Drosophila melanogaster: one gene and its partners. The protein of the gene in region 1 purifies or fractionates together with the protein of each later gene. This does not show direct contact. Each region holds a gene or a part of one and is shown in the gene's direction. Other genes may lie near its edges.

The links.
Region 2: the proteins of Pbp45 (region 1) and Pbp95 fractionate together in Drosophila melanogaster (co-fractionation; 5 studies listed by BioGRID, with this or other methods). This does not show direct contact.
Region 3: the proteins of Pbp45 (region 1) and Pbp49 fractionate together in Drosophila melanogaster (co-fractionation; 5 studies listed by BioGRID, with this or other methods). This does not show direct contact.

What each region holds. Positions count from the first base shown.
Region 1 is NT_033777.3:15,837,601-15,841,386, reverse strand, and holds Pbp45 (PSEA-binding protein 45kD), read left to right. Parts: upstream 1-1,871; 5' UTR 1,872-1,974; coding exon 1,975-3,066; 3' UTR 3,067-3,241; downstream 3,242-3,786. Other genes in the region: spn-E (spindle E), read right to left, coding at 1-115, 205-857, 955-1,688, 3,407-3,649, 3,707-3,786.
Region 2 is NT_033777.3:8,012,270-8,017,155, forward strand, and holds Pbp95 (PSEA-binding protein 95kD), read left to right. Parts: upstream 1-1,521; 5' UTR 1,522-1,568; coding exon 1,569-2,030; intron 2,031-2,141; coding exon 2,142-2,697; intron 2,698-2,757; coding exon 2,758-3,905; 3' UTR 3,906-4,341; downstream 4,342-4,886. Other genes in the region: CG10435 (uncharacterized protein), read right to left, coding at 1-800; CG2747 (uncharacterized protein), read right to left, coding at 4,411-4,736.
Region 3 is NT_033778.4:8,128,809-8,133,106, reverse strand, and holds Pbp49 (PSEA-binding protein 49kD), read left to right. Parts: upstream 1-1,783; 5' UTR 1,784-1,851; exon of another isoform or gene 1,852-1,934; 5' UTR 1,935-1,962; coding exon of another isoform or gene 1,963-2,415; 5' UTR 2,416-2,478; coding exon 2,479-3,612; 3' UTR 3,613-3,753; downstream 3,754-4,298. Other genes in the region: Pabp2, read right to left, coding at 32-165, 316-717, 975-1,073; CG42516 (uncharacterized protein), read left to right, coding at 1,963-2,415.

The sequences.
Region 1 (3,786 bases):
GCCACCAAGTCGGAGCCAGATCCATCGGAGAAGATATAGTGCATCCAAAATGAATCGCCTAATTGAGACCTACCACCTTCGTGCGCAAACAAGCCAGGCGTCGATAAGCCAGCAGCTACAACATATTTAAAAAAAAAATCATTAATGCAAGACAAAGAATATTCCCCCCGTTATCCTAAAGCTTAACTACTGTTGCCCGCTTACCTATAATAATAGCTTCTTCGAGCATGTTAAAAATATAACCCAATATGATAAGCCGGGACTGACGTGTGTCCAACGGCAGCCGAGACATGATTGTGCCCCAGTAGGTAAGATCGCCATCCAACGGGTCGTAGATGCCGTCTACTGTTAAGTACAGAGCACCCACCTCTTTCAGAAGCAATATTGTATTGTGTATGTCCGACAGATTCGGCGGAGATAGAGCCAATGCCAAGATTTCCACCGGTGATCCCATATTCAGCACTTTGGCCTTGAGCACCGAGTTTTGCAAGGGCAAGCGCAACATTTCTGGTATTCCAAACTCGGGCATTTCCCTCTGATAGAAGTGTTTATTAACCATACGGTAAACGCGTCCACTACGAAGACGACCAACGCGGCCGGCACGCTGACGACAATTGGCTTTGGACGCCCAGGTTAAGCGGAGCGAAGAGAAGCTGCTAGCCGTATCGGTTACCTTTACTTTGGCAAGACAAAAGTCAATAACGTATGAGACATCTGGCACCGTGATGGAGCTCTCAGCAATGTTTGTGGTCAGAATGATCTTGCGGAAACCGGGAGGCGGGGGATTGAAGACATCCCGTTGGTTTTCCGGTGTCATTAACGAAAAACAGCGAACAATAGAGACCTTAATGTTGGGGCTGCAATTAAACAATAAAGATTGGAAATTATAATGATACAATTTTAGCTACTTCAAAATTTGTACAGTGAGCAATTCTCACGGATAACAATGCTTACTCGTTTTCCAGCATACAAGTAAGATTTTCTGCCATCGTGTCGATTTCGTAGATGCCTGGCAGAAAGATGAGCACAGCTCCATAGCGCAGGGCCTCGTCATAGCTCTGCCGCGACTGGATTGCAGCCTTCCGTTCCATGTTGTCAATAATCACTATGATCTTTACCGCTGCCCTGTAACCGTGTTTGTTGATTTCTGGCACCTGCTGGTGTCCCACATCTTCCTCATTCCAAATAATGCTGCCGAGCTGGTCACGGTAGAACTTCTCGATCGAGTGCTTACGTCGATGATTGGTGGTGATCACTGGCGGAATTGAGTTAGTGGTGGTAAAGTAGTCGGACAGTTCCTTGGCATCGATGGTGGCCGACATCAGGATAATCTTTACATGCCGCGAGTTCGTGGCCAGCAAGCGACGCACCACGATCAGAAGAAAATCCATGTTCTGGTCTCTTTCATGCACCTCGTCCAGCACAATGTGGGTGTAGTGGGTCAACGTCTTGTTGTTAATCAAATTGTTCAGCAGCACCCCGGTGGTGCAGTACAACAGACGAGTGTCCTCCAAAGAGTTCGGGCGGTGCAGGCCCACCTGGAAGCTGCACACCGTGTTCTGCTGCCACTCGCGCTCCTGGCAAACTCTATTCGCTATGGAGATGGCAGCTATGCGCCGGGGTTGTGTCACCACAATGTTGCAGTATTTACCGCTTTTATAGGCCTCATCCAAAATGTATTGGGGCACCTGTAAGAATAATTGATTGAATACTAATAATAATTATAAGAAAATATCTAAATATTTACAAAGCAGAACAAAAATGTAATTGTATTTTTTACACATTTTTCAAACAGTTTTTATAGTTTTGCGCTTTTTTTTTGAAAATAGCTAAGCAGTTATGAACACTACATATTTATCGATGAACTCCCCGGCTAGTGTTGTAAAAGCTTATTCCCGGCGAATGTTATTGTTTATATTTTGAGGCTCTTTTGAATGAGAGATGCGCATATATTTCGCGTAATTAAGATTCAGAATGGAGCTGAATATCTTTGACGACTGCTGGGAGCTGGTGCAACGATTTCAGCGATTGGTTAATGATGGCGAAAACTGCGAGTTCGAGGTGTTCTGCCGGTGCTGGCGAGAACTGCAGCTGCAGCACCTCTTCACTGCCCAGACGAACCACACAGAGGTGATAGCCACCACACTGGCGGCCCTGCATGTGGCCAAGCGACTGTCGTGCTCCCGACGCACCACCGGGGACGTTTTCCCGGCATCTCGCGCTCAAAGGATCGGAGGTTTCTTTCTGCTCTACGTAATCTACTACAAGCAGCCCACGCACAACTTTATTAAGATCGAGGTCTCACCGCGCACTTGGCAAGAACTAACAGACTACGCTCTAGATCTGCGCAAGGATAGTCCGGAGCGGAAGGACACTCATCAGATCGCCTACATGCTGTGGCGCCTGACCCAGGAGCAGGCCTTCCGCTTCACCGCGCTCGACTATTGCCAGGGGTTGGACAATCTGGTGGACTACGACCGTGTGGAGACCGTAGCGGGTGCCAAGGAACAGAGGCAGAGTGCCTTGATGCAGAAGCAACAGCGTGCGAACGGCGTCAGTCTCACATACGAACTGGAGGGTCTGCGAGCACTGGACCAGGCAAGCCAGCCATTGTGTGAACTGGAAGCGGCATACAATGCCCAAAAGAAGCAATTGGCGGCTGGTCATGAGCACGCTTTGCCGCCCTCTCAAATATTCGGCCATTTGCGAGAAGTCTTTGCCGATATCCAAAGTGTTCTAGGAGCTAGAAAGAGTACTCCAGATGAGAATTGTACCACAACATCTACAGGCAACCAGTTGGAAGTGCGCCAGAGGGTGCGGAACAAGGCCATGTACGGCGTCGAGGAACGGGAGCCGCAAAACCAGGCGGATGAACTAGAAGTGCAGCTGGAGGTCAACGAGACTTATCAACGCCGCATGTCCTCGGCCACCGTTTTTCAGAGGGAACTTCCAGCAGACGTGCAGCAAGAGTATGAGATGATTGAGTTTAGTGACGACGAGGAAATGGAAGTGGGTGAAAGCGAGGAGGTCACGGAAGAAGAACTCAAAGCTATTTTGGATACTTGAGTTAGTTTATAAAACTTTTACATAATTAAATAACTAGCATTTTTGCGCGATGTGATCTTGTTTATCTGTTGCACATAAAATATTCATTGTATTTAAGTATGTAGGATAGGATATATAACTATATAGGATATAAGTTTCCTAGGCTTTGCTATTCTTATATAAAGAGTTGAAAAGTATATTGAAGATTATTATTTATTATATAATATTAAATACTCTCGACTAGTTTGGATTTGAATTTCAAAAGTCGAGGATAAAAGGTTTAATTATAATTCGCTTGCGTTGGCTTTATTAAAATATAGACTTAATAAAAAAGTTAGGATTTTATTTAAGTTTTGCTCACCTGCGTGGTCTTGCCACATCCTGTTTCGCCCTTAATAATGACTACCGGATGAGCATTGATGGCCGCCAATATTTCCTCGCGCTTGGCGTAGATGGACAAGTTCTTGTCGCGATTCAGATTGAATCTGAACTTCTTGTAGTACTCGTCATCCCGGCGAATTTCGGTCTCTTCCCCCTCATCGTCGGTGTCCAAATCGTCCAGCGTTCGAATGCGTTTGCCTTGAGGCTGTTCGTTGAGCAGCGTCTGGATCGAATTACACATAAACAAACAGAAGTGCTGACGCAAGCTTCCAGTTCTCACCCCGTTCAGGAGACACTTTTCCTTGGCGACGATTTTGCTGACATAGTCGGTGCCGATCAACTCGCGGTTGGGCACTTCGG
Region 2 (4,886 bases), 7.8 Mb from region 1:
TCGAGCGTCGCTTTGGTCTCCGCCAGCGTAGTCATTGCTAGCTCCACCGGAGCTGGCACTTCATTGCCAGATTGCTCCTCCTTGGAATGATCCTCATGCGGCGGCTCCTGCTGCTGCTGATCCTGCTGCTGTTGATCTATGCGCTTCTCCAGCTGTGTCTGGTGCAGAACCTGAGCTAGTATGTCTAGATCGTTGATGGTCTTCAGCTCGATATTGTCGAAAGGTGTGGAGTTCATATTGTACTCAAAGTCTGCGTAGTTTAGGGAGCTGTTACGCTTGTGCAGCGTCTGCGGACTGACCACTGGAGTGGTGCTCAGAATGGTGGGCTGCAAGATATTGTGAAAATTACACACACTTATTGACTTTGGTTCGTGGGAAGAGTCGCGTGACTCAGCGGTGATTGGAGGTGGTGGCTGCTGTTGCTGTTCCTCGTCCCTCTGCTCGGGCTCGTTCTTCTTTCGCTCCTTCTCGTCCTCATCCGATGACAAGTCGTCCGCACTAGGATAATCAACTGCTCCAAGCATCTCCTTCTGTCTCGCCTCCAGCGCCCGTTGGCGTTCCTCCTTGCGACGCTCCTGGCGACTGGCTCGCTCCTCGCGCTGCTGGCGACGCAGGTGGCGCCATCGTTGCGCCTGACTCAGCACGGCCCTCTCCAGCTGACAGTCATACTGGTAATCCGGATGATCCGTGTAGAAACCTTCTCGGAATTGCGACAGGCGATTGAGGGTCGCCTGCGGCAGGTGGTACACGGCAGGCGGTGGTTTGTAGCGCTCGACTATCTTGACCGGGACATCTTCCATGTTATGCTAGCGCATTCACCACGAATTTTGTTAATTAAGTTGCTACTACGCGTTTTTTTTTCTCTGTTCTCTTTTGTTGTTTCTCGAGCAGCAGCGATAGGCGATTGGTATTGTCATCGGTCACTGCTGATTCGCCAATTTCGACTAGTGTTGAATATCGTTTTTCCTTGAGATGCTCACCTAATTAGGTGTACTCAGGCTTGGTTGCGAGTTTGACAACAGCTGATATTAAATCTACCCAAATTTTCGCCAATTTGAGGGCGTATGAAAGGCTTAACAAAAATCGGAATACATTAATAGTTTCTACAGATCACGTTATACAACATAAAAAAATTAAAATTACAAAACATTTTGACATACTAAATATTTTTTGTTACCAAGGGTATCATTATTTAGTGCATGGCGGATAGTTTTAAGATCTTTATTCTAAAAAACTATTTTTGACCAAACTTTTGTTTAAAATAATCCCGCGCTTTTACAACTGAGTTTATTGAAATCATGTTCTTTCCACTAGATAAAACCAAAGTTTCTGGGAATAAATAAGGACGAAAAATGGCAGTTATGATATCTATTTTATCTCTATCTATTCTTTAATAGGTCTTAGTCCAATAATACAGCAATTTCCTATGTAATGTTCAATGTTACTTTATTTGCAGGGTATTAATTTGCTTAATGCAGTTCGACCATTGCAACCATTTTATCGATAGTTGATGCCGGGAATAGTTCATCGCTAAAGTCAAAGGCAATGTAAACAAAACAACCTGAGCAATGGACGATGCCGATGATCTGCGCATAAACCAGCAGCAGCTTATGGACGAGATTTCGGCCCTCTTGCAGAACACAGCGAAGCCGAGCGCCGCCAACGCACTGCAGCTGAATCAGGAGCTCCAGCGCCGGCTCATGCAAGTCCGGACCAAAATTCTGGCCATGTTACAAGTAGTAAGGGCCCGCTTCTCTCGGAACGAGGACATCCTGGTGCGCCGGCTGCGACCTCGTTCCCATTTCGGCCCGAATTCCCTCAATCTTAGCGGGGCGATCCTGCGGAAGGGCACGTTTCGCTTCAAGGGCAACCTGTTTTTCCGAGACATCGATGGTCGAAGCTGTCCTAACAACGAGGATTACGAGGCGCGGTGCCACACGGAGATGTTTCCCACCGACTTTGACATGCACTCCAGACATGTATGGACATTGCTAGACAAAAAGAATGTGATAATGGGTATAAAACAACAGGTGAGTGGACCCTTCGAGTGGTTCAGATTGATTGCCAAATACCCATTTAATAGCAATGAAAAGTTAAATAGCAATACTAATATTCTGTTTTATAAAAAACTCAATTCTCAGTTACTGGAGCATAGGGCCCACAGTACGAATGCGCTGCCCAGCGGAAGCCTGAAGCGCAAGCCAATCGAGCGACACTTAAGTACACTGGTAAGTCTGCTGGCAACTGCGGATAGTAGCTTCAGCATCGACTGGAACCAGATCAGCACCCTGGACTTGGAATATCGGCACTCACCATATAGCTGTGAGGCAATGTGGAGGGTCTACTTAACACCAGATCTCAGGCGAGACGATTGGTCACCCGAGGAGGACGAAACTTTACTGGCGGTGGCCACTGCGAACAGGATGCAGAACTGGGAGTTGATAGCCGCGTCGCTAGACCGACGTTCCGACTATCAGTGCTTCGTACGCTTTCATACCGCCCTACGTTTTCTGCTGGAGCCAAAGAACAGCCACCGCTGGAGCGAAGAGGACAACGATAAACTAAGGGCGATCGTTGATAGGAATACGGCAAACAGTGTAATAAACTGGAAAAAAGTCGTGGAATACTTCCCGGACAAGTCCAAATCAACGCTGATTGGTCGTTACTACTACGTGTTGCATCCTAGCATCAGTCACGGTAGGTACCCAATATATTGAATAATTTTTAATTTATTATTTCGCTCCTTTGAAACTGCAGAACCCTTCACTACCAAGGAGGACATGATGCTGTTCGCCGCCGTTGAAGAGTACAATGGAAAGTTTCACTGTTTTCCGCGTTCTCTTTTCCCAAACCGGTCGTTAACCCAACTCCGAACTCGCTACCACAATGTACTGGCACAACGCAACAAGACCGACTCCTGGTCCGTTCAGGACGACACACGGCTGATGAGCTTCGTAACGCAATACGGGGCTTCCCAGTGGCTTAACTGTGCCACGTTCTTGGGCAATCACACGCGGACCAGCTGTCGAACCCGCTTCCTAGTCATCAAGAAATTCCTTGAACAAAATCCCAATGCAAAAGTGGAAGACCTGCCACGCCGCCGATCGAAGAAGGTGTCCTTGGTTAACTCTGATAACTGGGCGCAGCGTTTGCAAGAGTGGCAAGAGGACCCAGAGTCATTAGTTAATGATAACCCCCCGAAAGGAACTCGGGTGCGCGGTCCCAAATCGAAAAAGGCTAGGATCGAGCGACAGGCAGAGAGTTTCTCAAGACTTTCGAAAGTTGATATAGAGTTCTGCAACTTCTTTAAGTTTAGTTATAATCTGACGCTGAGCACTCCAAAAACTTTTCCAGTTCCAAAAGACGTTTATAACCTTGCCTACGTGATCAGAGCTCTTGCATATAAGCCACCAATTCGACCCTCGCTCTTACAAAACATATTTATGCCAAATGATGTGCTTAAGTGCTACAACAGCATGATCCGAAACCTTCCGGACGAGGAAGGTGATATGAAGAGCCCACTTTTGCCACCCAACTGGTCAACTATGATGGGGTTTCGAGCCTTATGCATTCTTTCCGGAGATTGTCGCAAGGATACGGAAACACGTAGCTTCGAATACAATGAATCTTTACCACCCATCCAGCTTTTCCGCAAGCGGTTGCAAGCTCTTTTCTATCGTACCACTCTTCTCAGCCGCTTGGAATCACAACTCTTTACGGACTTACCATCAGCATTAGTTTCTTTACCACGCCCCAAACACGATTATGCAAAAATGGGTACACATGTTGAATTAATCGATCCAGAGCCGGCACCACAGAATGATCTAAAATCCGAGCCGCTTAGCGAGAATGAAGTGATTAATACAGTCAAGCAGGAATTGGAAATGGAATATACAGTTCCATAGGAACTAATAAGTAAATATGTAATATTGATTAATTTAAGCTTTAAAAGTTTATATTTTTTACTTCATATCGCGTTATATAATAGTTCATTACAATGGCTAACAAATAATTTATAAACTTGTAGGTACTTTTAACGTATTTCACATACAGCAAAATCAAATGCCGGACCGATGTGCATTAGGGTGGCTCATTTTTCTGATTGTAGTTTAAAAATATTGCTTAGGTTTGAAAAAAGGTATATTTATAGCAAAACGCCCTGCAAAACGAAACAATTTAATACACAAGCAGTCAAAAAAACTAATGTATATTTTAGTTGCCGTTTTACAATCCTTTCAAAACTTTTATCCCGGATATTTAGTTATTAGAGCAAAATTGTCTAAACCTTATTTTCAATATAAAAAGAACCGATCCATCCTATTGTTCATGCGGTAACAATGTATTACAAAGCATTTTTATGATAGCACTAGCAGCTTGAGAACTATTTTGTTCGATTCCCGGGGGAGGCGCTCATTGGAAGTTACTGAAATCCGTCTTCAGCTTGATCGTAGGCTTCTGCGGCTTGGCCAGCAGGTTCCTCTGCGCCTCGCTTGCTTTTTGGGCAATGTTAATCGACTGCTGTTGGCTGCGAATGGCCGCTTCTAGTTTTTGTCGCAGTTCCGGTGTTTGACCCATCAGGGCCTTAAACTCCTGCGGATATTTCGGACCGATCTTCAGTAGCCACTGCAGCGCCTGGTCGTGCAGCTGCCGTTGATACTTTGGCAGCGTCCGGAGTCGACTGGGTTCCGCTAGGAAGCCAATGAGCACAGGGACCAACAGAGTCAGCATCTGAATATCTGTGAAGTGTGGACAAGGAACAATTAATATTATAATCCTAAGTTTAAGGGCTTGCTAAACGGAACATCAATTCACAGAGATGGACAAGTCGCTTCATCCCGTACTTTTACTTCATACGTGCAACATTTAAAGCGTAATTTTAATTGACA
Region 3 (4,298 bases), on another chromosome or scaffold:
ATCCAATCGGGATTTTCCAGAGCCCACTTACATAGCTCTTCGGGCGCCTCGGAAGGTGGAGTGACAGCACGCCCGGGAGACACGGGCTCCTCGACCCCGGAAGCTGCCGCGTGCGAAACGGTTTGTGGTGGAGAGTCCAGGGCGGTTTGTGCGCTTCGACATTACCTGAAAGTCAATAGATTAAGCTAAAGTCAACTCTAAATATGTGCTTTCAAAATTGCGCTACGTAGGAGTCCCTAGGACTCATTCTATCCACATATGTACATGAGAGTTTGATAGGTAGCAGGACTAGCAAAAAGTGCTTCAGATACTCACCTTTATTTGACGCCCTCGGAAGAGGGTTTCGTTCATGGCCAATGCCGTCTCGACAAACTCCTTGGAACCAAACTCAATGTATGCGAATCCCTTGGGGTGCCCGTCAGCCTTGTTGCAGAGTATGGTTACTCGGTTGATTGTGCCGCATCCGTGGAAGTGGGCCTCCAGTTCCTCGGCCGATGCGCCGTAGTCCACATTGCCCACGTAGACGGACCGCGTGTCGATTTCCTGCTTCTCCTCAAGAGAAAGCGGGACTGTGGCCAAGCCGGTGGTAGACCCACCGGCCATTTGTTTGTCCACCTCCGACTGCATCTGCTTTATCTTCTCGGCCTCCTCTTCCATCTCCTTGACTCGAGCCTTTATGGCCTCCAGTTCCGGGTCGATTTGCATGCTGCCCTCCTCCTGGCGACGAGGAAAATATGAAATTTAGTGGTATTTGATTTGGAGCGATGAGCAAACGCCCGAAACCACAGCAGACAATGGAATGGAGTGGCGGTGCGAAGTGACGCTCTGAAAATGGCAGCCATTGCTGCGGTTTTCGGCTTTGTATATCCCCCAAAGCTTTGCGAGCTTTTCCAGGGAATTCGGCGGGCTTTCGCAAGGCGTGAGGCCAAGAAACTGGTTCTTGGGCACTGTCTACAAGGGCAACCCCAACTCACCTCGACCTCTGTGGCGATCTCAGTCTCTTGCTCCCCGTTCGTCTCCTCCAATGACTCCAGGAGCTGATCCTCGTTCAATGTGATATCTTCATCGGCCATTGCTTTGGATTTGGGTTTGTTTACGTCTGCTACAAAAGCTCGGTTTTGTTGGCGCAAAAGCTTCCGGCGTGGTACTCAAAACGGCAGTTGTCGTAACTATGTATGTATGGTAGCTGTCAATGAGAAAAGGGCGGCGAAAGTGAGCATAAAGAGCGTAAAACATTAAGAGCGCGAATGAAGAGTTCATCATGCAAATGCAGTGAAAATCCAAGCCATAAGTAAATAAATTCAGGCTGCGGACACCGAAATGTCTAGGTTTCACTGCGTTCGCACTACTACACTGATATTTAATTAAACACACTGTACTTACGTTTAATAAATGTACAAATTACGAGCTCGTTCTGCTGACGTTGAGTTCGCCCAAAATGGCTGCCCTGTGAAAACACACGTACGCTGGGTTGCTGGGTTGCTGTTTTTCGTTCAAAAGTCTACGTTTTTAAACCCTTTTCGACTTTGTTTCGCGCCACACCACGTCAGCATAAATATTTATTTATAAGCTTATTTATTTATTATTTACTAATATTTACAACTATACGAAAACGTACGTAGTTTTTGACACAAATTGAAACAGATTTGTGTTCGCCTCGTTTTTACCGATGACAGTTTTCGCCTCGATAGTTTCGATGGTTTGGTGGTGGGTTTACCTATCGATAACTGCCGGTATTTAAGAAAGCAGTTCTTTGGATGATAAAAATAATAGTATTTTCACACCACAATGCCATTTTAAATTTACCATAGGAAGGAAAGAAGAGGAATGTGCACGCACATTTCTAACAAGGTTTTGTAAATGGGAATCAGACAAATTATTGTTTAAGGAAGTCATATATTGCGAAATAACGCCATCATTCAACCATCAATCAGGGCCCATGCATAACGATAAAAGGAGAACATGAACGATTCCTCCGATTCGGAGTACGAGGACACAGAGTACCTGGTATTTGCGGATTTCAAGAACCACATTCATCCGCACCAGCTGAAGCACGAGGACGCGGCCATTAAGATCATCGGAATCGAGAGTGACACGCCCATGGCCGAGGTAAATGGAAGCATTTATCGGGGACGCTACGAACATTCCGTGGGAACCAACGTGTTCTTTGAGAAGGAAAAAGACAATCTGGCAAGTGATCCGCTTTTTGAGTCAGTGTGTCGCCAGCGGTACCAGTACGTGGACAAATCCACCAAGGTGATATCTTTTGAAAGGGTCTACGTGGACAATTTGCACCAGGAGGTGGAGAAGTCGGCTGAGACTGAAGAGGACGATCAGACCGAGCCAAAGCCAGAATCTCTGAAGCTAAATATAACTTACAAGGAGGCTATTAACAAGTTTGGAGAAGATCATTGAGTGTGGAGAACTGAGTCTAATCCTGAACAAAAAACACTCTTTCAAGACATACCTCTTAGTACCATGGATACCACCTATATTACAACGAATCCAGCTTTAAGCCTGCGAGACTTTCTAGCCGACTATCAAAAGAAAATATCCGGTACTGCAGACGAAGTGCCCTTCTTTCTCCAAAAAAACCCAGTACTTGTCGACGTGTCTGAAAGCTGTTCCCTGGACTTGATCGAGTCCCCAGACGACAGCTCGATTGCAGTCTTCCAGCCCGCCGCAGACAAATGCCGCCCAACCTTTTCTCCGCCGCAGGAGAACCAGCATGTGCCCTCCACTTTTACTGCTCTAAGCCAGCACAAGGACAAGTCCCGTAAGTGTCCCTTTGGCCGCACCCAGTACAGCCACAAACTGAATCCGACGCCGACAGACTCGCCTAACCTGCACATCGATGCTTGCGGCGAACTGGAGCTAACCGTGCGTCTATATCGACCACCGCGGGCCTACCATCGCGGGTTTAAGGTGGAGATTCCCGTTTTCGCCGAGGAGTTCGTATGTCTGGGCAGCAATTATCTGACCGAGCTGCGGGACAAGATCAGCTGCGTTTGCAATGGAAAACGGTTTGTCGACATCAGCGACGATCCAGATGCACCGTTGCCATCCATTGACACAAATCCCGGTTACTTCTTCATCAACGACACATTCTACAACGACCAGCGCAATCCGGACAATCCCGACTATTCCAAGACCGTCTTGCAGTGGGCTGCCAGAGCGAACGGAGTGAACGGAGAAACGCTTAAGGTGGAGAGTATGGAGGGCAAAAGATTCATCGATCTCACTGTCAGCCCCGGATCACCGCTACACTACCTGCACCACGGCAATTGCGAACACCTGTTTGTGATCTCCCAGGTAGAGGTGCTAACGCCACTTAGTAAACGGCCAGATCGCAGCCTGTATCCCTATCCTCACGCCTTCAGTACGTTTAATCGCAGGACTTGCTATATGTGCGGCATTCGCAGCTATAGCTTCATCGTGAACCAGTCCCGGCGACAGCTGCACGATCCCTCCTACCTGTGCCGCAGATGTTTTCTCAGCTTCTTTTACGTGGATGGTGTCAAGCTGGGCCAGTTCAAAGCCTATCGCATGTATGACCATGTAGAGCTGGAGGGCGAAGAGGAGGACATTAAACAGCAAAATCTCCCCTCCTGAATATACATATACATTTGTGTGATTTTTTCTTTATTTGCGAGCTCCTTTGACTGCAAGATCGCTCAAGGAGTTGATTGATATTTTGTTCTTGTAAAATATTCATAGATAGATTTAAATAAAATACATACACGTTGCAACAAGAGTAATTGGCATTGAACGTATTCGATTGCCGTAAAGCTGCCTAAATTCCATGCAATCTAGATTAGCAAAAAGTTAGTGTCCAAGTTAGGAATACAAAAATGCAAACAACGTAAATAGTACGATACATCTGGCTTAGAACTTACGTTAATACATATATGCAGTAGTTCAATGTTTAAAAATTTGCTTAAGGATTTGCACACTGTGGTGCAGAGTATAGACTTGACCAGGACCCATATAAAACAAACCAATAGACTAAATATGGCAAATAACATAATACATTATCCTAGACAAGATACTAGTACTAACCGTACTTAGCAGTACAATACAGTAAAATTCTGTGCACTGGGATTCCGGCGTGCACGTGAAGAGAGACTGTGCGCTTAGTTACTGGGGCGTAGAAATGCATCAACAACATATTGCCAATCCGACCAACAAATATCATTACGAACAACTGCAGGCTGGGATTCCATTCGCCCGGACCTCTTTGGTGTACGCGCTTGCGTTTACTTCAGTGTTAAAGCTTTGACCAGCGGCTTCTCGACGGC